Linked DNA regions of Arabidopsis thaliana. The protein of the gene in region 4 interacts with the protein of the main gene of each other region in a pairwise test. Each region holds a gene or a part of one and is shown on either strand. Other genes may lie near its edges.

What was found.
Region 1: the proteins of HDG2 (region 4) and AT5G26749 interact in a two-hybrid assay, tested with the Arabidopsis thaliana proteins (one large-scale study listed by BioGRID).
Region 2: the proteins of HDG2 (region 4) and MYB106 interact in a two-hybrid assay, tested with the Arabidopsis thaliana proteins (one large-scale study listed by BioGRID).
Region 3: the proteins of HDG2 (region 4) and HOS10 interact in a two-hybrid assay, tested with the Arabidopsis thaliana proteins (one large-scale study listed by BioGRID).

The regions. Positions count from the first base shown.
Region 1 is NC_003076.8:9,396,038-9,402,294, forward strand, and holds AT5G26749 (C2H2 and C2HC zinc fingers superfamily protein), read right to left. Parts: upstream 3,231-6,257; 5' UTR 3,203-3,230; coding exon 3,070-3,202; intron 2,986-3,069; coding exon 2,864-2,985; intron 2,717-2,863; coding exon 2,653-2,716; intron 2,522-2,652; coding exon 2,450-2,521; intron 2,358-2,449; coding exon 2,248-2,357; 3' UTR 1,978-2,247; downstream 1-1,977. Other genes in the region: SK 11 (shaggy-related kinase 11), read right to left, coding at 3,545-3,627, 3,730-3,832, 3,947-4,030, 4,132-4,227, 4,327-4,377, 4,465-4,605, 4,693-4,749, 4,846-4,920 and 4 more.
Region 2 is NC_003074.8:43,665-50,573, forward strand, and holds MYB106 (myb domain protein 106), read right to left. Parts: upstream 4,633-6,909; 5' UTR 4,480-4,632; coding exon 4,343-4,479; exon of another isoform or gene 4,242-4,342; coding exon of another isoform or gene 4,234-4,241; coding exon 4,109-4,233; exon of another isoform or gene 4,025-4,108; coding exon 3,895-4,024; exon of another isoform or gene 3,807-3,894; coding exon 3,454-3,806; exon of another isoform or gene 3,377-3,453; coding exon 2,955-3,376; 3' UTR 2,732-2,954; downstream 1-2,731. Other genes in the region: AT3G01130 (ATP synthase E chain), read right to left, coding at 1,570-1,713, 1,811-1,858. UniProt on the Arabidopsis thaliana protein: Functions as a repressor of epidermal cell outgrowth and negatively regulate trichome branch formation. Acts both as a positive and a negative regulator of cellular outgrowth. Promotes both trichome expansion and branch formation.
Region 3 is NC_003070.9:13,074,681-13,081,944, reverse strand, and holds HOS10 (high response to osmotic stress 10), read right to left. Parts: upstream 4,056-7,264; 5' UTR 4,020-4,055; coding exon 3,887-4,019; intron 3,808-3,886; coding exon 3,678-3,807; intron 3,530-3,677; exon of another isoform or gene 3,172-3,529; coding exon of another isoform or gene 3,016-3,171; intron 2,641-3,015; coding exon of another isoform or gene 2,564-2,640; exon of another isoform or gene 2,172-2,563; intron 2,056-2,171; coding exon 1,680-2,055; downstream 1-1,679. Other genes in the region: AT1G35516 (myb-like transcription factor family protein), read right to left, coding at 2,564-2,640, 3,030-3,171. UniProt on the Arabidopsis thaliana protein: Transcription activator.
Region 4 is NC_003070.9:1,511,881-1,522,260, reverse strand, and holds HDG2 (homeodomain GLABROUS 2), read left to right. Parts: upstream 1-3,360; 5' UTR 3,361-3,691; intron 3,692-4,034; 5' UTR 4,035-4,080; exon of another isoform or gene 4,081-5,203; 5' UTR 5,204-5,236; coding exon 5,237-5,478; intron 5,479-5,556; coding exon 5,557-5,674; intron 5,675-6,251; coding exon 6,252-6,440; intron 6,441-6,809; coding exon 6,810-7,223; intron 7,224-7,297; coding exon 7,298-7,399; intron 7,400-7,470; coding exon 7,471-7,671; intron 7,672-7,698; exon of another isoform or gene 7,699-7,736; coding exon 7,737-7,911; exon of another isoform or gene 7,912-7,995; coding exon 7,996-8,267; exon of another isoform or gene 8,268-8,340; coding exon 8,341-8,436; coding exon of another isoform or gene 8,437-8,457; exon of another isoform or gene 8,458-8,516; coding exon 8,517-8,873; 3' UTR 8,874-8,887; exon of another isoform or gene 8,888-8,961; intron 8,962-8,967; 3' UTR 8,968-9,360; downstream 9,361-10,380. Other genes in the region: AT1G05240 (Peroxidase superfamily protein), read right to left, coding at 1-226, 313-478, 572-757, 847-1,059; AT1G05220 (Transmembrane protein 97, Putative), read right to left, coding at 9,605-9,766, 9,998-10,318. UniProt on the Arabidopsis thaliana protein: Probable transcription factor. Involved, together with PDF2, in the regulation of flower organs development by promoting the expression of APETALA 3 (AP3) in the epidermis and internal cell layers of developing flowers.

The DNA.
Region 1 (6,257 bases), on a different chromosome or scaffold from region 4:
CTCTACCCTTTTTTAAAACAATTTTCATTTCTACCCTCTCTAAATTTTTAATTACCATTTTATCCCTATTTGGAAATTGTTTTACGTTAACAAAATGAAATATTAATATTTTCGCTTAAAATTGTCTATAATAAATTTCCCGCCAAAATTTTCAAAAAAAAATTCCCGCCAAAATGTTTTTTTCAAAAATATTTTTGCCGCAAAAAAAAACATTTTTGGCGGGAAATAGATTTACAAAGGATTTTAAAAGGGTTTTAAAAGATTTACAAGGGATTTTAAAAGGGTTTTAAAAGATTTACAAGGGATTTTAAAAGGGTTTTGAAATACTTACAAAGGATTTTAAAGGACTTTAAAAGATTTACAAAGGTTTTTTAAAGATTTTTAAAGGGTTTAAAAATATTTTATGGAATTTTAAAAGAGTTTTAAGAGATTTACAAGAAATTTTAAAAGGGTTTTAAAATATATACAATGGATTTTAAAGAGCTTTAAAAGATTTACATAAGCTTTTTAAAGGGTTAAAAAGTGTTTTAAAAGAGTTACAAGGGATTTTAAAAGAGTTTTAAAATATTTACAAGAGATTTTTAAAGGGTTTTGAAAAATGTACAAATGTTTTTAAAAGATTTTTAAAGAATTTACAAGAAGACCCTTTAAAAACTGTTGTAAATCTTTTTAAAACCTTTTAAAATCCTTTGTAAATCTTTTAAAATCCTTTGTAAATTTTTTTAAATCCTTTTAAAATCCCTTGTAAATCTTTTAAAATCTTTTAAAAATCTCTTGTAAATCTATTTCCCGCAAAAAAAATTTACAAGGATTTTTAATTTTTGGCTGATAAAAAAAATATTACGGAAAACAAATTTCGCGAGAAATTTTTTTTTGGAGGGAATTTATTTTTTTGCGGGAAAAAAGTTTGGCGGTATTGTTTTTTTTGGCGGGAAAAAAAAAATATGGCGGGAAAATTTCAGTTTCCAATTACATGTTACTATTAGATGAGGGTAATTTGGTCATTCTGTTCAAGGGAAAAGGTATTTTTAAAAAAGAACCACATATAAGGGTATTGTTGCAAAAGGGTAGTTTTGCAAATCTCCCAAGAATTAAATTCTTTTAATTATAGAATCTAATCCATAATCACTCTTTTATAAAAACGTAAACAATTATTTAACCACATTTAATTGAATTTAGTTGTAAAATCCAAACCCTAAGCATTCTTTTATAAACTCAAATTGACTTATAATCTCGTTTAATCGTAAAATCTAAATCCTAATCTTTTTTATAAATCTAAACAGAAATATAACATTTAATTACAAGATCTAAAACCTTAACTATCCCTTTAATTATAAAATCCTAACTGAAATATAAGATATAACCTTTAATTATAACCCTGAAACCCTAAAACCCTAACAGAAATATAATCTTTAATTATAAAATCTTAAACCTAAACCGACATATAAGTAATTATAATACGCTAATCAAACTCTTCTTTATAAACTCAAACTATTTACTTTGTTCATAATTAAAATAAAAAATAAACTAAAACCCTCCATTATAAACCTAAAAACCAATATATAAATTTGAAATATTAACTAATAAATCATAACCTATCTTTTATAAACTCAAACCAACATGCTCGACTAAATTACTCTTAGGAGATTCGAAGATATTTCTCTCAACAATAAAGAGTTTAAAATTAGTTCTATTTTATGGAGTTGAAGAAATGAAAATGAAGTTAATAATTTAAATATTTGATTCTGAACAATCTGATTTTTCTTTTAGCCAACTTATACTCTGTTTCTCAATAATGTATTTTCTAGGGAAAAAATTGTTCCAACTTTGTAATTAATCTACAGCCTTAGGAATTGCTCCAACTTTGTCAAATATTTTGATAGTTTGGCTTGGGAAGTCTTGTTTAGCACATGGCCAGGAAGCGGATAGCGAATTAGCGATATCCTATCATCACGCAATGAATAGGGACGAGCCAACGAAATTTAAAGAATTTTATCAGAATATCGCACAGTATGTTAAATTGCAAATTTGCCATGTCCAAACTCCGAACAATGTCTCTAAAGTTGACGACAAATTGAGTAACAAGACGACAATTTGGTTGACATTCTTCCAACCTCGAGTCTGAAAAGAGACAAGCTTGTGGCTAAAAGCTTGGTAATGGCAGAGCACAACGAGACAAAGATTAGTCTTTTCCTTTCAAGTAGAATCATCAATGTTGAAACTGAGCATTATTCAGAGAATTTATATCTATCCCCAGTCTATGAAGGGAAGCTGAGGATAGCCTTGCTCAGGAGGCGGTTTTAGCGATGGCGGAAGATCAAACCAACCTGTTCCTGGTCTCCCACTAACAAAATCACCTGTTTTAGACAATTCAAACTTCCAACATCAGATTTTCTATAAATGCTTAAATATTAGAGAACTTGAATGACGAAAAAACAAGAACGCATACGGTTTAAAGTACTTCCTTGGATGTGTTGTTGGTTAAGCATGTCAACACGAAGTTGTGTATTATTTGTGAATCCTGCATTTGAATTCAACAAGAGGATGATGTTTTAAGCAAATCTTGCGCATAGTAGAGACTTCTTTAAAGCTTTAAGTAGCCTAAAAGAGACCAAATCACTGAAGTCAAAAATCAACAGGTTTTGACCTAACCTGTGCTTCCTGTATTGTTGTTAGGATGGAAGTATCTGCAAGAATCTCCAAATGGGCAAAAATTCTGCAAAACCCATTAAGAAAGGAACAGACTTTACTTGGAAGATTACATACATACACACATATGCAATGAATTTTTTTGCAGAATCAAACAAAGCAATGTAAAATGTGTGATTCCACCAGAATATAAACGAAAAGGACAAGACTTTACACATCCAGAGATTGCTAGGAATGATGAACATAGCGAAACAAAATCAATCCGACGTACCGAGGTAATGAATCGATTGCAGAGACCTTTCGTCGCAAAATTGGAGACTTGTGGATTAACAAGATCTAAGAATTTCGTATTAAAAGAAACAGAGATGTTAAAAATCGTTCCTTTAAGAAACAGAGAGAAAAAAGAGAGAAGAGAGATACCTGAGGAAGAAGAACTGTACCAAAGGGCTTTAGCTCGAAGATGAGGTTTGCTTTGAAGATGGCGTTTTCTAGCGACTTGAGTGTCTTGAAACTCTTTCTCGCAATAATCACAGTAATATTTCCCCGACGGCATCTTCCGGCGATGACGACGACGACTCGTAGAATCAAAAAGTTTTGGCTTTTATTAGTTTTAGGCGCGTGAGGATACTTGTATTTGCTACAGTGACTTTTAGGGTCTTTGTTTGATGATGTTGCAGAGGAAGAAGAAGATACAAAAGCAGAAGTAGCAAACTCTTTATCTAGATAAAAAATCTTGGTGGGCTTTTACATTATGAACCAACCAACCATAGTAATAACTCTTTTTTTCTCTACTCATACAACAAACAAAGGGTGCATATCAGTTTGTGACATATTGATACATAGAGAGGTAATTTATAAGAAGTGTTTGTTGTGTTCATGCTACATTAAGAGGAAATCACAAACCGAGCCAAGGACACTGCTTCCTTGCATGCTCAGGTACTAACTTAGCTACCATCTCCAATGGTACACCTTTCAGCTCTGTTTCACAACAATTACAGGTATAGCTTTAGTAAGGTAAAACTTTGATGATTTTACAGGTAAGTTGGAGATAAACACCATTAGGAAAGGGAGATGTTGTACCGTGAGGCTTGAAGTTGAAAAGCGGTGGAAGGAAACGTCCATTAGGTAGACGTGCGTTTGGGTCTCTTAACTCATCAAAGAATGGGTGGACTAATGTGTCGAGCTGTGATCAGGTTTACGATTCAAGTAAAAGCAAGTCAGACAAAAGAAAAATAGGAAATGAAAGGACCATCGAGAAGATTCACAGAAGAATGTTGAATTTGTAAGTAATACTCACAGCGGCACTTCGTAGATTAGGAGAGTATTGAAGAAGTCTTGAGACCAAATCAACAGCTTCTGGAGGCATGCGTTTGTGGAAAATCTGTGAATATATTATGACGAGTAGATATTGTCACATTGACTGTAACTGCTACTGAATAACACATTGACAAGTTGATTTGATGAATATAAGTTTATTTCTACCTTGTGCCATGGATGAGCTTTAATCTGAGGGAATTTGAATTCCGTGTAGTTTGGGTTCATGCACTTGATTTCTTCTCTAGTAGGCGTTCCCAAGACCTACCCCAAAGCATAACAAAAAACATTACATCAAATCTTCTCTCAGTATTATTGAAAACAAGAACTTGTTATCAAAGTGAACAAGTGCAAAGCTTATACCTTGATAATCTCTACAAGTTGATCAACACCGCTCTCACCAGGGAACAAGGGCTGTCATGAGCAGAGAATAGAGTTTGTCAATCACAAAATTCCAGGTTAAGTAGAACAAAAATGTTTGAATAAGATTTAATGCATTACCTGTCCAAGCAATAGTTCAGCTAGAACACATCCTGCAGACCAGACATCAATGGCTGTCGTATACTCGGTTGCTCCAAAAATAAGTTCAGGTGCTCTGTAATACCTCGAGCAGATGTAGGAAATGTTTGGTTCTCCTTTTACCTGTTTTCAGATATTACAATGATCAACAAGATTGAATCTAACTTTTTCCAAGAAACAAAGTACCCGGAAGAGGTTTATCAAACTCACCAATACTTTTGCACTTCCAAAATCACATAGCTTTACTTGATGAGTGTGCGGATTTACCTGTTCCATTACAGGTGAAAAAAGTAGCATTAGACAATGAAGAAAAGTATATTCCCGGGTATACTGTGAGCTCCTGTTTATTTAACTTGTACATACCAACAAGTTTTGAGGTTTTATGTCACGATGACACACACCAATGCATCGGTGAATGTAAGATAAGGCTCTAAAAATCTGCCAAACATAGAGAAATCCGATAAGAGATCCAAAACATAACTCTAAATCTAACAGAAATGTAATAATTGATACCTGATAAGTGTAAAGTTTGACGTATATAAGAGGCATTCTCTGATTCAGTTTGTTGTAGTGTTTGATAACACGATGAACAGTTTCTGGAACGTACTCAAGAACAAGATTGAGGTAAAGCTCATCTTTTTCAGTGGTTGAGAAGAAACAATGTTTCAGAGACACAACATTAGGATGGTCAAGTAGCCTCATGGTTTGAAGCTCACGGTTCTTGTACCTCCTATCTTGTAAAACTTTCTTTATCGCAACAGTTTCTCCTGTCTCAAGACATTTCGCCTAAATCACATAAGAAAATACAGAGGAATCCAATTCAGTCAATTGATAGATACATGATGTAAAACGTGAGAGATGATAAGCTAACAAAAACTCACTTGGAACACAACACCAAAAGATCCGTGACCAACAACACGCTCAGCCATGTAGCTAATTGTCTGCATTGACATTGTAGAAAAATTAATAAAAACACGAAACACTAACCAATCAACTAACTTAAGAAGATTAAAAGAACAGTTTTTTGCAAAGAAGAAGAATCAAAAACCTGTTTTGGTTGGCCATTTCTACCACCAATAGTAGTCACAATGATATGTCCAGTCTCTGTTCCATTTCCATCTACCACTGTCGCTTCCATTTCCTAACAAACCACAATCCATTATTTAGATTCTCATGAAATACATACCAAAAACTATACTACAACGCATGGAAACATACTTTATCGTCACGAATTTTCATGTCATTCATTTCTTCAGGCAATTTATCAACACCAGTAGAGTCTCTTGCTCCAGGATTAGGAGCTATACCCACTGACGCCATTTTTCAGGCTACAAAACTCTTCAAACTTTCAAGCCTGCAACAAATAACAACAGAGATTAAAATCCAATGAGTAAAGTTTGTTGCTTTACTAATAACAAAACACACAAATTCAATTTCAATAAAGGAACAAAACACAATTCTTTCAAGCTTAACAATTGAACACTTCAAATAAGTAAAAAACAATTTAGAACACTAAAATTACGAAAAGGAAAGTTTTTTTTTAACGGGAACAAAAAAAATAATGATAAGCCCAAAAAAAGTTGCAAAATTTAAAAGACCCAAACATTAAAACCAAATTAGAGTTTGGTAGAGAAGAGAGAATCTGTCGATTTTAAAATGATGGGTTAAATTAAAATTCATGGTGAAGCAGATCTGAAGCTAAAACCCAGAAGAAGGGATGAAGAAAGAGAGAGATCTTTAAGACGTACCGATGAAAACGTAAAAATCTCAGATCG
Region 2 (6,909 bases), on a different chromosome or scaffold from region 4:
AAATATTTATTTATTTTCTATTAATAGTAAAGATTATATTTTCTTTACCCTTTTAGTAATTTAAATCCAAAACTTATGTTAGTTAGTTATTATATATAGGGACTTAATATACCTCAAGTTGATGGTAGCCAATGGACCACAAAAACACTTCAAGTGGTATTTATATTTAAATGTTGAAAATCATACTAATTTATTCTTTAAGTTCTCATCCGTCCAATGAAGAAAGCACCAACACAATGAAATTAACCGATTACTGCGTGTCCCATGACTCCCATTAAAAGTATAATGATGAATATATTATATAGTATTGTATTATTGTAGTGTTCATGGTATGGTTTTGAATATTCTATGGATAGTGATTTTAAAGTTTCAAGATGGGAATATAAATGATGATTTGATTATTCAAACTAGACATAGAACGCCATATAGAGAAACTCTTCTCAAAATCTCAAAGAAGATACTCATCTTGTAACCTTTAATTTTGGGTGCAAACATTTAGGTTTCTACAATAAGTTCAAATAACTTAATAAATTGTAGAGAATGAAAGAGAACAGAAAAAGGCATTTAAGAATGCCTCTATTACGTGAGAAAGAGAGACAGCGAATGTGTGAGTGTGACCAATGTTCGAAGCCACGACCTTGTATAGCTCGAACACAACTTGTTCTTGCCACCAAGCAGTGACCACATTGGTCGTCCTGAATAGCCAACTGCTTACTTTTAACTCTGCGCCACGGCGGATATTTATTTATTTTAATTGAAAACAAAAAAAATTCTTTTTTTTTTTTTTTTTTTTTTATAAATTATTTATCTGGTTAAGATGATAAAAATATGGTGTTTATTGAATAGCAGGAAAGTACCAAAGAAGAACTCAGGTTTAAACCAAAACGGGTATACGATTGCTTTGTCAGACAGAAGATTTTGATTAAAAAAACAGAAAGATGGAAAAAATGTCACCGAGGGAGATATAGCTTAAGGAGGAAAAGAACTACATTTAGAGATAACAATCACTTGGCTTCATAATCTTATTGAGAAGGAGAAGAAGAGTTGGTTTAGTGATGAGCCTTTGCTTCGGCCTTAATCTGCGAATTCTTCTTTATCTGCATATGAAGAAGAAGCATTTGTTGGTATCATCATAACTTATTAGCAAATCACATCATAGTAGAAAATTAGATTCCACAATCTGAATGAATAAGGATTGGGATGCTCTAAAGGAAGCAACATAGGCTCTACTTTCATACCGATTTTCTTAGGGTTTGGAAACCAGACACAACATCGCAAACTTATGCTTTACAAAGGCAAGAAATTACATTTCAGTGATCAAGTTGCAAATCATTGACAAACTCTTCTACTAAACATCAAGTCAAAACTATGATCATTCAGTGGAATAGGAGATCAGAACTCAGGCAGAAACATTGGGGTCAAAGAATCATGTTACTTGTGTATAGATGACCAAACCAAAAGGAGCAAAGTAGCATACTAATAGTCACGGCACACATGATTCGATCGAGAATATCATAATTCAAAAGCCATAAACATTCGAATTTGCTGCTATAATGGCAAGTGTCAGATTTAGGATGTCAAAATGAAACCCAATGAAAATAATTTCTCATCTGATAAAAACAAGACAAGGAAGATAGAGAGATGTACCTTTAAAGCCTTGAGCTTGATGTTGCCGTAGATGAGACCCAACCCGAAAGCCGAAGCACGAGCAACCTAAATCGATACCAAAAAGAAAAGACTCGATGAACTCTTCAAAATCCAAAATTCGACAAGTCAAGGCTACAGATCGAGAAATTGATCCGGGGTTTACCAGAGCAAGAGTGCTGGTACCGGAGTAAAGTCCTGGAGGTGGCGCCATTGATTAGCAGTTGAGATTAAACCCTAAAACCCCCAAATCGATCGAATCTTCCGAAATCTCAGATTCGCGATAATGAAAGACCAGAGCGACTCCTTTGTCTCCGTCTTCTCAGAAAAGCAAATTATTGGGCTTTATATGGGCCTTTATTCAATAGTACCAAACGTCAGGCCCATATCCTTCTTACTATTACGCCCAAATTTGCATGCACATTAAGTAAACGATTAAGGATTTACTATCAAATTCGATGGATGTAATGTAACCTTTTGTTAAAAATGTCTTAAGTTTAGTGGACTCGAATCTATTAGTAATATCTGTGTTTTATTACTATGGATCATACTGTATATAAATAAATTTATGATAAAGAAAAGGACATGAAACAACCAAGCATTGAATTTTCTTTCTTTTACTCGACATGTCAACGTGTTGTTGTTATAATTACAGCCTCTTCGTTCAGACATCTCTCATATAGAAAAATTTGAAAATTAGACAAAAATACTCCACAACCGGTGGATAAGTAATATGAATATCTATTTCCTTCAATTGCTTGCACTCAGCAACTTTAAAGAATTATGGAGTGGTTCCAATCCTATATTTTGAAACATCTTATCAATATAAGATTAAGGAAAGCTCAACTTCTATAACTCAATAGTTAAAGCGCCTAATTATTCCCAAAATTAGTAATTTAAATTCGAACAAAGCAATGATACTAAAAAGGATCTTTGTGCCGATAGGCTTTTCAAGAAAGCTCATTCCCAAAACAAAAACGTATTAGGATTTGAAGGAGGATCCCTTATTATGGTTTATGTATTTGGCCAAATGACAACGACGTTATCACTTAAAATATTTTTCTAACAAACTGTATACCAACAACATAAAAGCATAATATATAAATTGTAAATTGGATTTGCAGGTTTGCTACATGCAATTCTGCAAAAACGAATACTAAAATTAAGCTCATTTTCATCCCATATATATATATATATATATATATATAATAGTTTATAAAGAAAATAAAGATAAGTAAAAAGTATTGGAAAGCTATCGACATTTAAAAAACAATCTGAGAATTAAAAATGTTTGGTTGAAGACCCTTAGATCAGAACATCGTCGCGGAATCGGACGGTGAAGAATCAACCAAGTTGAGAATGCTATTCCAGTAATTCTTGTTATCCTCATAGTAGTTATACTCACTCTCATTCCCCACGCCCGCCGTCGCTTCGTTTTTCCCGGTGGGTAAACCCCGGCCGACCGAATCACCGATCAATAGACTCGTGAATCCTTCTCCTATTCCTCCACTACCACAGTTGATCTGCCTAATCCAGTCGTGTTCATGTTCTTTGACCAGACTCACATCGGAGGAGGTTGACGAAGATACGGCCAATTCAATCATCGCCGAGGACTCATTGTTGTTATTGTTTCTATTTCTGCTGCTATCCGTAGGGATTCCTAAAGGCATCAGAAGATTCTCAGAGAATGTCACCGTCGATGTCGGAGATTCAAGCTGTTGGTCTCCGTTTCCTGTCACAATTTTCCATTGATACGTTACCAAAACCAATCAAAGTTGAGAGTTTTTTTTAAGACGATGTGTCCCTTACCTTGGTTTGGTTTAGTCCAGTTTGTTGATGTTTTTTGAGTGAAGCAATGTTGTTGAGGAGCTGCTGATTTGTTAAGGTTGTTATTGTTTTGGTAATGCTGTAAATGGAGAAGCTTTGATTCTCTAGCTAGCCTTGCTTCAGCTTCGAGTCTTGCACTCTCCCATTGAGCCATATGACTAAGCGTGGCTGCGTTCTTTGATTGTCCTGTGGAAGACGAAAGAGTCTCGTTTTTGTGCTTGTGAGTCACTGGATCTATCCCCATTTTGATCAGACGTTTCTTCAAGTGTGTGTTCCAGTAGTTCTTGATCTCGTTGTCTGTCCTCTTTGGTAAATGAGTTGCAATCGCTGACCACCTATGACATTTAAAGGACGACGATCAATTTGCTTTCAAAGCAATCACTTGGTTATTTGGTTTGAAAGCAGAGATTGTGATTGAGTCACCTGTTTCCGAGGAGAGCGTGGAGTTGAATGATGGTTTGTTCTTCTTGTACAGTGAATTTGCCTCTCTTGATGTCAGGTCTTAGGTAGTTAGTCCATCTGAGTCTGCAACTCTTTCCACACCTTTGGAGACCTATAAGGAGTTTGAAGCAAAGCTTTGAATAGAGCTAGAAGAAAATGTGTGGTTTTGTTGAAGAGAAAAGAGCGAGCAAGTTACCGGCTTTCTCAGGCAAAGAACGCCAGCTTCCATGGCCATGTTCTTCAATATAAGCCAAAAGTTTCTGATCCTCTTCTGGAGTCCAAGGCCCTTTCTTCAACCCGGCCTTATCACAACATGGCGATCTGCCCATTGTTTTCCCACACAAGTTATTAGTCTAATCTACTGAAGAAAAAGCTAGCTTCAATCTGATCCACGGTTTAATAACCTAGTGTATGAGATAGTTGTCATTACATGATCATGATCAGTATGATCACAAAAGCTGCTCTCTTGGCGTCACTCTGATATATAGATGGAGAAACACAACAGAAGATGTCTCTGTTTAGGTTCTGTAAGCGCCCCTTTTCCCGGTCTCTGACATGGATTGGCATTCAATTGGATGGGGTCGAGAGATATTATTACCTTTGTGGCTCCAACACCTTGATTTCCTTTTAAAGACTCAACAGAGCACCCAATTACTGTAGCCATCTTTACCTTGAAATTGTACCTCTCAACACAAAAGTAAAACAGTGAATTTCAGAACCTGGAGTAAATTTTAAGGTCAACATCTATCAATAGCTCTCACTTTGATAACCCTGCAACTTAGGATAATGTCATTGAGAAGAATGTTTTTCTCATTAGCCTTAAACAAACTTTGTGGTCCTTTAACAGTTTTGACATTTAAACCATTCTTGTTACTTTCCCGCATTTTTCTCGCGTCAAGGTTCGCTGTCGACAGTCCCCAAATGCACTAAACCCATTTAAGCTAGTTACAAGTTTTAAACACTTCTCACTAAAACTCAATTATCTTACACTAGGGTCTAAAAGATGCTCAAGGTTTCTTATTACAGGTATCCTATTGAGTGATGGTTTCTTGAAAGCTACAAAGTTCTTATTGTTTTGTCTTACTTACGGTCTTGCCTACAACTAGTTACCCTAATAAGTTACACTACTTTATGGAAACGTGTTTATTGATTTCTTCGTTTCACATTTTAGTTAGCTTTTTGTAGAAACTCCACAATAGTAAATGCTGTTAGATGGCGGTGAAGAAGTGGAAGCTGGCACTATAATGGGAAAAGCAAATCAGACACAGAGGATTAATGATATTTGGAGTAACTTAGAGCAAAAAGTCTTAATGATTCATAAACCCTGATTATAGAAGGAAAAAAAAGGGAAAATGCAAAGTAGTTGCAAGTAATTAATTGGTTGTCAATGATGTCATTAGCTTAGACTTGTTGTTTATTCAATTAGTCATTGCTCTGCAAATGGTATAATTCTCCCTGTGGAAGCAACAATAGTTTTATGGTAACACATTTTTACACTAATAGTCACTGTCTCTAAAGTATCAGAAAACTATGACCGCGGTAAACACTGAGTTTCAACCATTGTAAAAATTTGGAACCCTTATAAATGAAGAGAGGAAACACTAATGTGGTGGGAGCAAGAAGAAAGGAGGTGAAAAACCTTTCCTTGTCTGGTTCCTTTACCATTTAATGAAAGTCCCACTGGCTGCTCCACTGTTCTTGGTGTCAATTCATCACAAAATCTATTTTTTCACAAAGATAAACTAACATAGACAATGAATGATGAAAAGTATACAGAAACTTAACCATCAAAATAGCGACTTGATGAGGTAAAAACCACTATTTGGTTACCCTTTAACTAGTAGCATACCACAAAAGGTAAAATTTGACCATAATCAGAATTGTATAATTTGTTACTTACTGACCATTATGCAAAATTTTAGTGGCATACATGGTTTGGATAGTTTACAGGTGATCAAATGTTGTCGACAAAGGTAACTTTGGCTGCCAAGAAAGGTAGACGAGTAATGGCGGTGACGGTGACATTAAAGAGATTTTACCAGACCAAACAAAGAAAAGAGTATCCTAGTGTGTGCCATGGTAGCAAAGAAAGGATTTATTGAGGTGGGCTCCAAGCTTCTAGGAAGAGAAGAAAGTATCTTCATCAACACAAAGATAAACCATAAGACAAAATCATAAGGCCCAACGAATTGTACCAATAAAAACAAAATTGAATTTTGGAAAAACTAAATCATACTGGCTGCAAAAGATGTAAAGGACAATGGGGACACCTCTTTAATTGTCTTGGCTGATTTCATCTTTTATGGTCCAAACAGTGCTCAATAAACTTCATAGATGATGATGTTGCCACTTGTCAAAATCACATCCATCCACGTAACGTAGCTGAGATTGAGTGAGCTAAGAAGAGGGGCCAAAGCTTTTAAAGTCAACTGATAACCATTTGCTTTTCTTCATCATCAGTTTTTGGACCAGAAATTATAGTTTCTTAAATTCTCACATCAATGCTCCAAGTCTTTTGCTTCTGTGTGTGCTCGTTCTACCGAATAGAACAACAAGTCAGTCACACGCATGGAAAAAACAGTAAACAACAAGTACATGCATGAATGCTTCAAGTCTTTTTCCTCGAAACTGTTTCGTAGAAAAACAATGTAAAACACTTTTAAGTTCGCTTAGTAATTACTGAACTCAAGACATACAAACGCAGAGACTGTAATCTGTCACTGGATCTAGACATTTCTTGTCCATTGACCTAAGCCAGAAGATGATTTAACATCGCAAAAAGCAAGTCAAACTTGCTTGTTCTCAATCAAAACATCTCTCAGTAAGTTATGGTCCAACCTTTTTCATTCACTATCTTCATCAACAAGACATGACCAAATCATCCAACTAAAAGTCAACAAAGAGGAAGGAAGCAAACAAGACAACTTTCATCTTAATCACAGTAGACCAAGCATAAGCAATTACTATTAGCCAACTTAAGGCAAGAAACAAGCCACG
Region 3 (7,264 bases), about 12 Mb from region 4:
AATGAAAACCAAGCGGTAAAGAAAACGCATAGTTCGCTAAAACATGCTTGAATTGTATTAAAACAGTCAATAATGTAGATTTTTTTTGAGAGATTAAGGAATAAGATACTACTATGTGATTGTTGCACAAAAAAAGATACTATGTGATTTGGAAATTTAAAATGTAACTTATATGAAAAATCAGGAATAGAAGGACAAAATTGATAATGTCAACAAGAAGGAAGGAAGAGAAAAGGAGGGAGGACCAAGTTGTATACTTCTATCTTAAAATATATTTGTTTTGCGAACAGAAAATAATATGAATAATCACTCTTGTAAAAATTATATTGGTTGCATAGATGCGACATATTTGTTTAATAAACGTTTCAGTGTATATATGCAAGAAGATTACAAAAAAAAAATCTATTGTCCAATGCATACAGTAAGTTTTATTGCATTCAAGTAACGAACAAATAAAATCATATTCAAATATACGTCATTGTATAACAAAAAGTATAAAACACACTTGAACATATCGATAATTGTAGTAATGCATTTATACATTTTAAAACAGCATCATCATCTAATTTTAAATATTTTTCTTCATATATTAGTTTATTTTCCAGTAACGTTTTCATAACCATAGATAATATGAGCATTTACCATCTGGCTAAAATTTTCACGGTAAATGTAGCTGTCGAGTAGCCTATTCACCAAGTTTTCTGAAAGATCTAAAACATGGTACTCACTTGCCAAATAAAAGGATAAGACTATTTCGTTTATACTATCAATTTCTTTTATAGTAATATTTCTGATTCATTAAGCAACCATCGACCAGTTCTAGCCCTCAACAGTAGTTCATCTACTACGAAGACATCAATGAGTTAACTACCATCTTAATCAAATGTTTACATCCGTGAAAATACCCCAACGCATATGACCACCCGTCATCCCATATAAATTTGTCTATATTATCTCGTTAGCTAAATTATTAGTGTTATAAAATCCAAGAAAAAAAATTATTATTATTATAAATCCAATAATTTTAGGATCTCACCCGTAATATACCGTCCCTTGAATGATTTTAAATTTATACTACTAATATAGATTTTAAATTTATCATATAAAGTATATGATTTCAAGTTTTTGTGTTTTTTTATTTAAATAAAGCAACGGCTTAAATGATGATAGATTTAGTTCTTTTTCTTGTATGTGTATATGACTTTTGTGTGAATATTTTAATTATTATAAATTAGTATTTTTATTGCTATAGAAAATGTTAATATACATATTTGCTATAAATCGGATTTATGCATATTTTGTGGAATAAAATTCACAGATTTTGTTTTTGAATATATATGGAAAGATTGTAATTTTCTTGTAAATACATGTGGCTTTTCTTGTAAATAAGTCCAAACTACAGAATTTATTTCACAAAATAACTGTAAAAATATATATATGTAAATATCATTATATATGTATACACTGTTATTTTGCGAGTTTTATTTTGCAAATTTGTATTATTCAACTATATTATTAAACGCAATGTTACCAATCAAACCCTAAATAATATCTTTGGTGCACACAACTCCAAAAAGACATAACTTGTTATGAGATTTATTATCATTAAAAGAACCCGTTTAGCAATTCATACAAGGTTCATATGTGATCCCAATTTACAAACACAAACGTCACACGAGCTAGTAACAAGATCCGACCCCGACAAATCGAGTCGGACTGTACCCGAGTGTTAGGTCCAAGTTTAGCTCCTTGTCCAGATGATCATATCTGTAATCACAATCAACACTTAACCGTAAATCCTCGTCCGTAGTCGTACCGCTCGTAGAAGCACAGTTTTCACAAGAAGTCTCCATCTTTAGTTTAACAGAACCGGGAAACGTGGACTTCAAATCTTCATTTCGGGGATGAAACGATGTCGTTTTAGGCTCGATGATCGAACCGTGAGTTTTTGGGTCAATACCACGGTTAAGAAGCTTCCTTTTTATATGAGTGTTCCAATAATTTTTAATCTCATTATCGGTTCTTCCCGGTAATTTCCCAGCAATCAAAGACCATCTGAAAAAAAGACATTCGAAATGTAAGGAACATTGGTTTAAAACTTGGTCATTTGGGTATATTAAACCGGTTATTTATTTGGTTTTGTCAAATTGGATCTGCTTGTATTTTTATTATTTTTTTCTCATAAGTGTTGCACTTTATTTAAAACCTTATGTTGTAAAGATACAACTGTGGAACCTTCCACTTACAAATCTTGACACATATTAAACCTTACAACATTGGATCAACTAAAATATAGTCATCCATATTACATAAAAAACCAACAAGTCTAACTTATAAGCAGAGGCCCATAAAGAAAGCCCAAACCAGGAAACAAAACCTTTAGAGGAAGTAAATTAAAGATTCCCTTCCACCACAAAGCCACGTGTGATGTTAACAAACAAAGTTGAAACACGTTGACTGAAGAAGCCTTAGTTGTCGCCATTCACCACCGTTCTGGTTAGCAACTCAGGGAACTCTAAAACCACCGGAAACCGCCGGAGCTTCAAGAGAAGTCCATTGATTTTTAATTAGAGAATCCACCAAACTTCATTAGCAAATTTGGAAAGGAAAGATCTCCCAAAGGCAATTGATTCCTGAAATCTAAAGAACATCGACGTAGAGTAAGCCGATGGAGCTTTCAGCAACACCTTAAAAAAGAACAAAAAAGCACTCGTCTCCATAGATCAGTTAGAGAAACAGCCACAATTGCAATAGTTTCAACCCATAAGCATAAAAAACCTTAATCCGCATCTTAATTTGTTCTCAAAAAATGAAATCGATAAGCGTGGAAAACAAATTAATCCCTTTAAACAAAGGAGGTTCAAGGAATTATATGCCAGATCTAACAATGAAACGCAAAAGAGCTCAATCAAACTGAATATAAAGAAATCGAGAGAAGAAAACATAAATCTAAACCGGAATCAATCCGGCCAAAAGGTAGACGAAACACCGAAGATAGGCGGTGAAACTCTAGACCTTAGCTAGCCTACCGCCGCTAAAGAAGCCAATGGAAGCCAAACGCAAACCGACCATCGTCGTAAAGAACCGAACAGTGTCAGAAGAACCACGACAATCAAACGTTGCCCTAAACATCGCCGGACAAAAGCCAGACATCCATGCTGGAAAAGCCATAAGATTCTGGACAGAGAACTGGCCAACAAACACTAAAGAAGCTATTGTTGCCGGAAAAAGAAGATCAGATGCTTTCTCTCTCTAAAAGATGCAAATGAGAGAAGAGAGAGAGAAGCCTACAAAACCTTCTTTTCCATTCAAAACGCATAGAATGCTATCTTCTCAATACTGGATCTGCTTGTATATAAACCAAATTGTACATTTATTCATTTTTATAAACTGAAGAGAAAACCATTTGATTAGTTTTCTCCAGTGTTTTCAAACCGGTTGAACCAGTTTGACTGTGAATCGAATAGCTATCCGATTTGAGTTATCACCAAAAACCGGTATTAAAAAGACTCACAACACCCGGTTTAAAATCTGATTAAACCAGTGAACCGGTTCGGACTAATGACCAAAACCCGATTCTTCATTTTTTTTAGTCTTTCACGGTTTAACCATTGGTTTTACTTTTTTACAGTAAAACTGGTTTGTTCATAAATCATAATTAAGAGAAAGGAAATTACTTGTTGCCAAATAAACTATGAAGTTTGACAATGATTTGCTCTTCACCATCAGTGAAATTTCCACGTTTAAGATCAGGACGAAGGTAATTAATCCATCTTAATCTACAACTTTTTCCACAACGCAACAACCCTAAAGAAAAGATAAAATCATCAGATCAAGAAACATAAAAATTTGAAAGAAAAAAAATCAAAACTTTGGAGAAATTTACCAACGGATTTAGGAAGAGAACGCCAAGAGCCTTCACCATGATTACGTATATAATCAATAAGACGTTGATCTTCTTCTTTAGTCCATGCTCCTTTGTTCATGTGAGCCTTTTCACAACATGGTGATCTTCCCATGATGATGGTTACATGTGTGGGTGATGAGACAAGAAGAGTGAGACTAGGATCTAAAGAGAGGTGTTATAAAAAGGAAGTGACTTTGACCAAGTTGGTGTATGTATCTTGTATTTTGTGGGTGAAAAAGATTTGGTAGGTTACCTTCTTTTTCTTTCTTTCCTTAGAGCATGTCCATTAAGGAGTCCTAATAATGGAATCCTTACATTTTTATACTAATAAATTTTGAATTTTTTTGAAATTAAAGTTCTTGTTGAATCCTAAACTTTTTTCTAGTCCATTAGTGAATCCTTAAGTGGGTTTCTTAAAAAAATAAATATGATAAATATTTACTTGACAAAATATGCTAATTTATTTATTTGACAAAGGGTTAAAGCTAATTCGAAGAAAAAAAAGAGCTTGGAAATGTAAAAACTATTCCAATAGTATTATATAACCTCATCATCTTCCTTCGTGAGTTTCCCTGCCAATTGAGAATATAGATGTTGCACTCTTGCAAGCTTCCTCACAGTTTTTGGGGCTTAACAACCACCCTGTCACATATACCCTGCAAAGCAGAAACTGCAGAACATCAAGATTGAACTTACGTTTAACTTTTCTCTTGTATTCTCTCGTACAATAGAGAACTGACTGCAACAGTTTAGCAAATCACATCAGTATGCATATCAGGAAATTTCAATGAAATGGATTCTATAATTGTTCAAAGCACTTTCAAGTAAAAATTGACCTGGTTAGTAAGTCACGCTCTATCTCCATATCACGACCCCTTGAAGCAGCTCTAGGCCTAGTTGCAGCCAAAGCTTCACTACAGACACCTAATCGATTCCTTTGAAAAAGTCTCTCAGGCTGTTTGCAAACATATTTATTAGAAACAAAAAACGAAGGTGCACATATCTTTATCAACATCACTTGTTATCACACAAAAATTTAGTGATATCTAAATTGAAACATTGGTTTAATCTAAAAATTAACTACTAAATAATATCCAGACACAAAACACACCTATAACTGTGCTAGCCAAGCAATGGGATCAATGTCGGTATCAGTAAATTATCCTGCTGTTACGAGCAAGCACAACCTAATTCCACGAGCCCGAAACATCAGTTAAACGAAACTTATAAAACTGTTTTAAGAATCGATACGAACACAATCTCTAAACTATCTTATTAAGAGACGACGCGTGATGATGATAATCACCAATCGTACGATCGGCCTCCGGAGTTTACAAGAGAAGAGAAAGAAAATTAATCGTGAAATGAAAAAATAAACAAGGCCAAAAGCGAGAAAAAAAATTGTTTTGTCAAACACAGAGCCAATAATATATGGCCACGTATGCGCCCCTTGAGATCAGAATAAACTCTAAAATTAGGTGCGAACCTAAGAGCATCTCCACTGGTGAGATACTACATCAATACCTCATAATATATTATTAATATTTTTATATTTAATTTAAGTAGAGAAACTTATACTAAAATTGTGCTTCCATTGGTGAGATACTCTTATAGGTATCTTATTAATATTAAAATATTATTATATTTTTCATATATTAAATTTAATATCTCTACAATATTTTTAAATATATCAATTATTATTTTTACAAATTATATTATTAAGTAGTTTTATTATTTTTAAAACCATAATTAAACATTACTTTACATATAAAACCATAATAAAAATTAAGTCTTTCACTTGGTAATGGATTACCACTTATGTAAGATAAGTAGAAATTAAAAGATTTATTGATGATTAAATTTTAAATACATATATCTGAAATCACAATTTTACATTAATCTGAAAATATTGCAAAATAAAAATAGAAAATTTTAAATGTTTGTTTTGTAATTAAAAAACTATTGTATTTATAACTAACACCAATTAAATAATATTAGTACATAATTTAAACATATACATAATAGAGCTTGTTATATAGATAATTTAATTTTATGAATTTTAAAAGTAAAAAAAATAAAAAAAAATAACAGACATATAAAGTATTTAATTGATGTTATAAAGTATAGATGATTGTATTTATAACAAAGAAAAGAAATTAATAACAAGGTGACATGTGGAAGAGAGAGAAAGTTTCTCTAAGTTTCTCATTTCATAAACGATCCTGAACAAAATTGATTAAAAAATTATTATTTTAATGTTTTTGATTTATTTTTATTTAGAATTTCTCAGTGAGAAACCACCAATGAAGATGGTCTAAGCTTTAATCACAATTTTTATTTATTTTTTGTTAAAATTATTTGAGGATTTCCCTTAAGAAACTGTTAAGGCCCTTCCAATGAACATGGTCTTAGATTTTATACTACTAAGAGAAAGGGTTTGGTGGGGATATTATTTTGATGGATTTGTTTTTTTGTTACAACTTACAAGTGATATGAATGAGTTATTTTATTACTAGTTATTTTTGGGTTGTTTTAATCTTCTAGAAGGAAAATGAGTGGTGGAGAAACACTGAAACAAGATCCAAATTGTATCCTACCTGCCTTTTTGGCACTATCTTTCTTTTTGTTTTCCTTTTCGAGAAGATTTTTTTCTTCGAGAAAAGAAAAATATTTTTTTTGTTCTTTCTTTGTTTAATTTAATTACACTCTCCATATACTTTCGCAATACTTTTACTTTACTATGAAACACAGCTACTATAAAACAGATTAAGGGTTTAAAAGTGGTAAGAACACTTGTCCATTTTTACAAAACAAAAACAAAGATGTAATTTGCTAAAAAGAATACTCAAAACAAATTCTTGCTAAAACAGTTGTATTTTGGGGTATGTGCAAATACAACTATACAGTCAAAACACCAAAATAAGACTAAAATCCTAAAGTTTCCCATACCCTATGAAAATTTCTTTAATAATTCTGACTGTAAGAATTTTCTAATAAGAATATGTAAACATATATATTATTTGCATCTTATATGAAGTAACTGAGTTCTGAAAAAAAAAAAAAAACTACAGATTAGAATGAAACAATTGTCCAATAGCCATTGCATAGATTATCAAAAGAGACCAAAATGTGCATAGTAGTATAGTACAATGGGACAGAAGGGAGAATGGTCACTAATGTTGAAAGAATGTTATGTACACACAAAAATTCGTATCAATAAAAAAATACTAATCTTAGATTCCCCCAACTTTTGAAGGGGAAAAATGCTTATACAGGACTCATGATACAACATATATATAGATAAGTTACATGTATGGTTGAAGTCATAAACAATAATTAACACTGAACAGCAGGAAT
Region 4 (10,380 bases):
AAGAGCCCTTTCTTCTGAGCCACGACCTTGAAGTAGTGAGTGTCGAATGTCAACGCACTGCCTGGGTCCATGTTCAGTGAGGTTCTGAAATCTGTAGGCGGGCACTTTCTCTTCAATTCCCTCACGTAGCTAGGGTTCATGGATGGGTCAGAATCGCCCTTTCCTGTGAAGTTGTAGAGACGACTGTTGACGAGAGCGCAACTAGAGATTCCAATGGTGTGACCCCCTACTCAAGAAACCATTTTTGTTCAGCTTTCAAATTGATAACTCTTTTGAGAATTGCACATCATAAGGTGCCAGCTGCAGACATACCTGAGAGAACCACAAGGTCTTTAGCGTTAAGACCCTTGTTGGCAAAGTTCTTCTTCAGCGTCTTTATGTCGGCGAAAGGAGATGGTAAATTTAGCAATGCATCGTTCAATTTCGAGATGCGTCCATCCCTGCGGCCCAATGGAACCGGCCACCATGGTCCCCCGATCTGTTCAAAGACAATTAATAAGTTATATACATACTATAGTCTTCAGTTTTGGAATGACAAAATCACTAGTCCATTGCGAAAATGGAATGTTACCACTGCCACGGCATCTCTGGCGACCAAGGCAAGAACATCAGCGCAAGAAATGAGATTAGGACACTTCCTCTCCAGCGCTGTCTTGGCCGCATCCACCACTTCATAACCTTTCAGGGTCAGGTTGGGGACAGCGTCTCTTTCCGCATCATTCTTTGCAGATTTCAGAAGAACGGAACCATCACATCCCTACATGAATCATTACAAAAGAGTGTTAGGACTAGCTAGTTTTTTCATATCCCTTGGTTAACAGTCTCGAACAAGTGAACCAAGCTTACTCTGACGAAACAATCATGGAAATGCATCCTTAGAAGTTTAGCGGCAAGGGTTTTCTGGCGAGAAACATATTGTACTGTGACACCACGAACAATTTCCTCTGCCTTGGGACACTTAGACCGGTAGTAGTCGAGGTCAAGCAACTGTGGAATGGCGACAGAAACTCCAACCACGCTAAGAAGAACCACAAGGGCGAGAATGTTCTTGATCGCCATTACCGTCTCTCTCTCCTTTCTTCGTTGAGTGTTTGCCAAGTAAGGTGAGAACGAGCTTTGGAGATGAAGATGAAGGAGACATTCTCAGGCCTTTTATAGATCACCCAGCGGCTTTGAAATAGTCCATGGAGAAATGCCAAACAAGATTTAGATAATCCCATTTGCATTTTTCCTCTGTTTCTTAATGAGGGTTGAAATACAAGAGGAGCTCGAGGAGGACATTGCATGGCCTCCACTATCTTCTTGATCTCTGCTGGTGCTGCAATTAAATATATTAAATTTCCACAATTAGAAGAAATCGAAATCATGCAACGATTAAGAAAGCTTCAAATCATCTTTTGCGCTTTGAAAAGCTATTGACTTTGGAGAAGATGTAGTTTGGGGAATTTTTTTATTAGTCCTTAGCTCTCAAAAGTTAAAAACTATAATAAACTGTTATAGTTTGTGGAATCCACGTTCCTGCATTCTCAATGTAAACTATCCAAGTTGCTCAATTCAGTGATTGGATATTACAATATACGGCTAGTTTCTTGTGAAACAAGTCGTCCTATAGACTAATGCAAAACAAAACAAAAAAATCAATCATTTTCCTTAACTAACTTTCCACTCTCGGAGAATGAGACTTTCGGCCTTGCCATTCTCGTTGGGGATAAAATATATAATGGGCCAAAAGTTTACTTCCGTCTTATGGCCCATATACGAAGCCCAGAAACAAAAAAAAACTACGATCTTGAATTTATTACAAAAGCATCCATTTTTTCAACAGAAGAATTCCATTTTGAATCTCAGATTTGATCATATTGGCAGAAAAAACACTAATTGAAATAAACTAAAAGTTTGACAAAAAAAAGAAATAAACTAAAAATAAATATTTGAGACTTACGAGGATGAAACAAACTTAAAATGTGAATAGTATTGTAGCAATTCTTTTTTGAAATAATTAACTTTTAGTGATGTAGCAGGAAAAAAGAAAAAACTAAAAAAAAAAAAAAAAAAAAAAGAAAAAACTAAAATGTTAGGCGTTGAATTACTAGTTTTTTTTAGTAGGAGAGTACGAAGAAGGAAGAGGAGGTTAAAGTGCAAGAGAGGCATGAGAGCAGTAAATGGCCTAAAGCCCATGCAGCCTCTGTGTACACATTTAATGCGTCGAAACTATTCGCCACCCTATCGCATACGTACGTACGTATAACTCCATCTATATATCTGTACCTACATATATACAGTAAAAATCAGAAATAAGTTGGGTTATTGTTTTTTTATATATAGTTATTTTAAAGAATCTAGGTAAAGTATAAACTTACTGAAAAGAAAAACTTGAGTGTTAAAGCTATAGCTATAAGGACTTTAAAAAAAAAAACAAAGCTTAAGAACTAGGTAATTAAATACGCAGTATATTTCTCTATATATTCGCGTGATAAATTAAGATGAATGCATGGCTTTTACAAATTATCACCTTTTTAATGGGTGATCCGTATTTTAAATAGCTTAATTGCACGTTATAGTTATAAATGCTTGGGCCACAAAGTAATTAATATTTCTAGGCATGTAAAATGAAGTCTTACTGTGAAAAAAGTGATATTTCATTGACTTCCTTAAATTGAAAAAACAATTGTTTCGTAAACAAAACTCAAAATTAAGGTGATGATTTTTAGATTTTCTTCTTTTAAATGAAATAAAATAAATACATCACTCAATCAACTTCTGTCTGACTAACAATAATACAACCTAAACTTCTATAATATTTAAGAAAATGCCATGTGGAAGAAGAATCATGAAATTTTCCTTCTTTACAATTAAATTTATAACAAAGATATGAAATAATAATAAAATAAAATAGTTAAAAATATAATAGTCATATTTTTTGAAAGTAAAAATTAAATTTATATCTCATAAAGATAAATATTAACTATAACAAGTCATTGAATTTTAGTTAAAAAACTATATAATTTTTTTCCATATTATAAATAATCTAAGAGTATTAAAATTTCAGAAAATTACTTTTAAAATTGTATCCTTGACAAATGGGGACTATTGTCTAACTTTTTCTGTAAATGGAGAACTGTATTAAAGCAAATTTCAATATAGTTAAATCTTTTTTTAATATAGTTAATTTTGTTAAGTGGTGATTTATTGCATATGCATAAGTTATGAATAATGCTAATGATTTTTTAAAAATAACTACATATCTAATAGATAAATGTAAGTCTCATAGGCTCATAGACCGTTAGCCGTCATTCCTCACCACATTATAATATTTTAAATAAATAAAAAATAAAATTATTTTAGGTTGACATTGTATATAAGATGAAAAACAACACATAATTTTGTAACATAAATAAAATAAATTGTAACATATCTCTCTCTCTCTATATATATATAAGCGTGTAGGATAATTAAGTGTCCCTCTCGCACCATTTAATTTCATTGCACCCTCTCAATTCTCTCTGTCATTACTCTCTCATCTCTCTTCCTCCAAGATTTGCACCTACCTTTCAAACCTTTTGCTCGCCAACAAAACCGCGCTTCACAAAACCATCAGCGGTTTTCCGAGAAACAAATCTCAGACCAGACACCGCTCTACTCTTCTCTCTCTCTCCCTCTAGGGTTTCGTCGCTTCTTCCTATATCCCAGTGTATGTCTCGAAAACCTCATCATTTCTGCTGTTTTCTTTATTTTATCCATTAATTCATGTACACAAATTTATTTGTTTAAAGTATCATTGGATCCATTACACTTCAGTTTTCTTAGCATCTTTATAAAACTCTCACTTTCATGATGTTTTTTTTTTATAATTTAATATATCCTGTATGTTGAATTTTCAGTTAGTCATCTATATTTTGTCTTAAATTTTGCCTTCTTTAGCATTAATTAATTGATTTCTTGCCTCTAATATCTTTCATTCCTCTCCTAATTTGCTTTCTGACTTTCTGATTTATTGTATTCTTCTTTAAATAATCTTATCAATTTCTGCATAGTCAGAGATGAAACCTTCAAGAAAACAATAAAGAGGAAAGATTAAAGGTTAGTATTCCCTTGCCTACCAAAAAAAACAGAAAGGTTTGTATTCTCTTCGTATATCCTTATTTTCATTATACGTTTGGTTTTATATATAAACACGTGTATATACTTTATAGTAGTAGTATACATTTACATATTAATGTGTGTAATAAAAACGTTTAAATACGATGATGATGATAAGAAATAGCTGGAAAAAATTAATACATCACCCAGGCCTTATGTCACGTTGGTTGTAAGTTGTATAATAACTATATGTTGGTCCGTCGCACAGGTGCACAGATATAATACTATTTTTTTCATTTCAATTTTTTTTTCTTTCTTAATCGCCAAATAGTAGTTTACACTTTTTCCTGAAGAGTTTTTATTTTTTGAAAATCTACTAATGATTATATTTAATTAAATTTTGTTTTGTTCTCACGAAAATATTGTTTTTTTAATAAACAGGATAGAGTTGGGAATTTATTTGTACCTACTTTTTCCCATTTTATTTGCTTTGAACAAATGAGTCCAACATTTCTCTTTTCGTCTTCTCTTTCCTATCCCATCTAAATCAAAACTGATCAAAATACCTCGAAATTTTAAATTAAATCACCATCCATCAAAGCTATTATAGTGTAGAAATTTTAAAGTTTTTTCTTTGGACAACAATTGATTTCCATCTACACTACATATGATATGACTCTTGAATCAATCATAGTTTTTATTTCAGTCTGCTGATTAGTTTTTTTCTTTTCTTTTAAAAGGGTAAAAAATCGGTAGTTTCGAATAATTTTGAGTATGTGAAAATTCATTATTTTTGGGTTGGTTATTCAATAACAAATTAATTTGTGATTGTGATGTCTTTTTTATGCAAGGCTCTTTTTTCTTGCTTTCAATTAGTGGGTCCTTTGTTTCCTACAATCATCTCCAATTCTTCTGTTTGCTTATATCATTTTGTATGATCTTCAAGAAGAAAGATAAACGACTCCGAAGAAAGATTTAAGTTATTGTTGTTCATACAAAAAGAAGGTTGTAAAGTTGTTGACGTGGACAAAAGTATTGCCATATTTTTCCAGCCTCGAAGAAATTTCCCTTCTTCTTCAAACCCTAAATTTTGACAAAACTCTCTACTTTTTTTTGCTTCTAGGGTTTGCTTTCAGTTTCCGGAGTATAAGAAAAGATGTTCGAGCCAAATATGCTGCTTGCGGCTATGAACAACGCAGACAGCAATAACCACAACTACAACCATGAAGACAACAATAATGAAGGATTTCTTCGGGACGATGAATTCGACAGTCCGAATACTAAATCGGGAAGTGAGAATCAAGAAGGAGGATCAGGAAACGACCAAGATCCTCTTCATCCTAACAAGAAGAAACGATATCATCGACACACCCAACTTCAGATCCAGGAGATGGAAGCGTATGTGTTTAACTTACTCACTTACTTCAATTTTCTTGTGTGTTTTTTGACAATTCTTTTGTTTTGGTTGTTAAATAGGTTCTTCAAAGAGTGTCCTCACCCAGATGACAAGCAAAGGAAACAGCTAAGCCGTGAATTGAATTTGGAACCTCTTCAGGTCAAATTCTGGTTCCAAAACAAACGTACCCAAATGAAGGTATACTTTTTATATTATGAACATATATACATTAGTTAATGGATCTATATATATTAGAGAAAATATATATACTTGTTAATTAAATTGTTATTTCATTCATATTAAGTCTTGTATATATACATTGAAGGGCTTATCTTTATACTTAAGAACATTTTGGGTGGCTGGTGTTTTCTTTCAGAATGAATTCATTGACTTTTGGCAGATTTTAGATCTAGTTGAGACACTTTGACTTAAAATTTCTTACTTATTTTTTTTTTCAATTGAAAAGTTGTTCCTTTGGCAGAACTATATATTTGGCGGATCAAGCTATAGAAAATTGTTTGGTTGTAACAACATTGCCTATTTATTATCTTAGTTAGAGCCATATATAATCTATAGATTGAAACGTTTTGGACACATATGCTTACGTTATGCAAATACGGTGAAACACATAACGTGTACACGAGTGTTTTATTTGAAACATACACTTTTCCTCTTTTTAAGTAAAATCCTTTGTTCCTTCGTTTTACCCAAATTAGAAATAAATCACTTGTATAAAACTTTAGAGATAACCGGAATATAAGTTTTATTTGCGCAGAATCATCACGAGCGGCATGAGAACTCACATCTTCGGGCGGAGAACGAAAAGCTTCGAAACGACAACCTAAGATATCGAGAGGCTCTTGCAAATGCTTCGTGTCCTAATTGTGGTGGTCCAACAGCTATCGGAGAAATGTCATTCGACGAACACCAACTCCGTCTCGAAAATGCTCGATTAAGGGAAGAGGTATGAGAATCAACTATTTTAAATGTTCAAATAATGTTAAGAGTTTTACACTTAAATGTTGTCAAGAAGATAAAATAAAAAATTAGAATTTGTTTTTATACCACTAATGTTATATCGCTTTCACAATAATCATTTCTTTCTTCATAAAATAAAAACTTTTATAGATTTGTATTGAAATTAGAGAATTTAAACATTTTTTTTTCATTGAAGAATAGAAAAAATTATGATATTAAATTGAGATACTAAAACGATATTTTTGGAACTGTAAGGAGTAGTAGTACATAATAACAACATTACTCAACGTTTCTTCTTGTGACCAAACTTTGAAAACCACAAGGATCAATAATCTTTCTTATTTGTCTGTTTTAGATCGACCGTATATCCGCAATCGCAGCTAAATACGTAGGCAAGCCAGTCTCAAACTATCCACTTATGTCTCCTCCTCCTCTTCCTCCACGTCCACTAGAACTCGCCATGGGAAATATTGGAGGAGAAGCTTATGGAAACAATCCAAACGATCTCCTTAAGTCCATCACTGCACCAACAGAATCTGACAAACCTGTCATCATCGACTTATCCGTGGCTGCAATGGAAGAGCTCATGAGGATGGTTCAAGTAGACGAGCCTCTGTGGAAGAGTTTGGTTTTAGACGAAGAAGAATATGCAAGGACCTTTCCTAGAGGGATCGGACCTAGACCGGCTGGATATAGATCAGAAGCTTCGCGAGAAAGCGCGGTTGTGATCATGAATCATGTTAACATCGTTGAGATTCTCATGGATGTGGTAATTAACATTTTCATTTTACTTAAAAGCAATCTTCTCTGTTTAGTTTCAACAACATTGATATGATGTTGCAGAATCAATGGTCGACGATTTTCGCGGGGATGGTTTCTAGAGCAATGACATTAGCGGTTTTATCGACAGGAGTTGCAGGAAACTATAATGGAGCTCTTCAAGTGGTAATTTTTTTTGCTTTTATTCTGTAAAAATTAAATTTCAAACTGAAATAACCACTCTGTTTTGCTTGCAGATGAGTGCAGAGTTTCAAGTTCCATCTCCATTAGTCCCAACACGTGAAACCTATTTCGCACGTTACTGTAAACAACAAGGAGATGGTTCGTGGGCGGTTGTCGATATTTCGTTGGATAGTCTCCAACCAAATCCCCCGGCTAGATGCAGGCGGCGAGCTTCAGGATGTTTGATTCAAGAATTGCCAAATGGATATTCTAAGGTAATATAATAAAAACATTAGGTTATACAAAATGTTTACTTAAGTAGAGAGAATTAATGTAACAGGTGACTTGGGTGGAGCATGTGGAAGTTGATGACAGAGGAGTTCATAACTTATACAAACACATGGTTAGTACTGGTCATGCCTTTGGTGCTAAACGCTGGGTAGCCATTCTTGACCGCCAATGCGAGCGGTTAGCTAGTGTCATGGCTACAAACATTTCCTCTGGAGAAGTTGGCGGTATAACCTACTGTTTGTTTCATAAACAGTTTTCATAATCAGAGTCAGAGTCAGAATCACAGTTCTATATTAATGAATATGCAGTGATAACCAACCAAGAAGGGAGGAGGAGTATGCTGAAATTGGCAGAGCGGATGGTTATAAGCTTTTGTGCAGGAGTGAGTGCTTCAACCGCTCACACGTGGACTACATTGTCCGGTACAGGAGCTGAAGATGTTAGAGTGATGACTAGGAAGAGTGTGGATGATCCAGGAAGGCCTCCTGGTATTGTTCTTAGTGCAGCCACTTCTTTTTGGATCCCTGTTCCTCCAAAGCGAGTCTTTGACTTCCTCAGAGACGAGAATTCAAGAAATGAGGTAACTATTTTAGTTACTACGCTCTCTTGTTCTGTTTTGGACAGAGTTTTGATGTTTTTGTGAGATTTTGCAGTGGGATATTCTGTCTAATGGAGGAGTTGTGCAAGAAATGGCACATATTGCTAACGGGAGGGATACCGGAAACTGTGTTTCTCTTCTTCGGGTAAATGTGAGTTACACCGGGTTTTGAACTATTGTTATAATCATCTGATCCTAGCTAAGAGTTTTCAATCTTTCTTTATGTCACAGAGTGCAAACTCTAGCCAGAGCAATATGCTGATCCTACAAGAGAGCTGCACTGATCCTACAGCTTCCTTTGTGATCTATGCTCCAGTCGATATTGTAGCTATGAACATAGTGCTTAATGGAGGTGATCCAGACTATGTGGCTCTGCTTCCATCAGGTTTTGCTATTCTTCCTGATGGTAATGCCAATAGTGGAGCCCCTGGAGGAGATGGAGGGTCGCTCTTGACTGTTGCTTTTCAGATTCTGGTTGACTCAGTTCCTACGGCTAAGCTGTCTCTTGGCTCTGTTGCAACTGTCAACAATCTAATAGCTTGCACTGTTGAGAGAATCAAAGCTTCAATGTCTTGTGAGACTGCTTGAAAACCATCCATTAGGTACTACTTTCACTAAATATATTCTTCTCGCTTTTACGCCATTATATGATGTAATCATATTTTTCTTCTTCTTTCTGCAGGAAATAACAAAATGGTGATGATGGAAAAAAGAGAGAGATTTCAGTTTGAGAAAAGCGGAGGAGTCAAGATCGAACCTCACAAGAGAATACCATTGAGTGTTTGTTAGTGTTAAGTTTTGGTCTGCTTATTTGATGAAACTAAGCAGTGAAAAACTTTTTACTTGAAAGTGAATATGTAGATGGTTTTACGAGGTTCGGGAATTTGACTTCCCCTGTCACATACTGAATTAGACAAAAACAAAAACTAGGTTAGAAAGAATGCTTTCGGATTTCTTTTTGTGTTACAGTTACTGTTTTTCTTTCCTTCTTGTGGTTAGATGGACCATCATCAGGAATTTGGAGTTTGTCTTTCTTTTGTATAAATATCTTATACAAGTATTTTGGTACTTTTGTAAGCTTATGTGAGTTTGTCTAGGGGAAAGCTCACACTTTTTTTTACCAGACAATGAGTGTCTCTCAAAAGGGCCATTGCCAAGTAAATTTACCTTTTGGTTCTGTTTAGGTTAAGTTCAACCAAGGAATTGTTGCTGAGTTAATACTTGAACAAAATTTCTAGAAGGGATAATGTTTTCACATTGAACATTCATACCATGTGATAAAGTAAAGTTTTCAAATGAGAAATTACCCTGGTTTATCCTCAAGCAAGCTTTCTCCTGGCTAAAACAGTTGATCTTTTGGTCGAACAAGTCACCAGACCACGAAGCATTGCCAGAATTGCAAGACCCACGAAAGGCAAATACGCCAATAGCAATTTGTTAGTCACCTTCTCTGAACCTATCATGTCTCCAAGTATAGCAGCCTAGAGATTCACAAAACACACAAAAACAAAACGTGAAAGAAACTTACAAACAAAGCGGTACAATCTAGCCTTCTCAGAGAAGCAGAGCAATCACATATACTAAAATATAGAACTCCAAAAGAATTTTCGTTTCCAAATCAAGAAAGTTGTAACATTTACAGATCAACAACATCAAAAACAAATATACATAGACTGAGCCAAATGAAAATGAAGAGAAAGAAGAAAATGTACCATGGAAGTGAGGAAAGAAGCTCCATACAACAAAGAAGTGGTACCAAACCACGACTTGCTGGTAAGAATGGCGTAGATGTTGACAATGGAGAGAGGCAATAGGAATATGATCTCATGCCAGACGAGTCCAACGAAGAAAAGAGGCTTCTCTATGAAGAGGTAATCGTTGAACTCAGAGCTGTACCAGTCTTTCAGATCGGTGAGGAGCTTCGGGTAGATTCCAGGAAATAGTATTTGACCGTTGAGAAGCGGTACATTGATAGCCATCAGTGCGAAGAAGAAAAACAGAGAGATGTTGATCAGCTTCCCCAAAGCTCCCATCTTTTTTTGCCTCTCTCCCGAGTCGTTGACCACAAAAATGAAACAGAAGAAGAAGAAGAGAC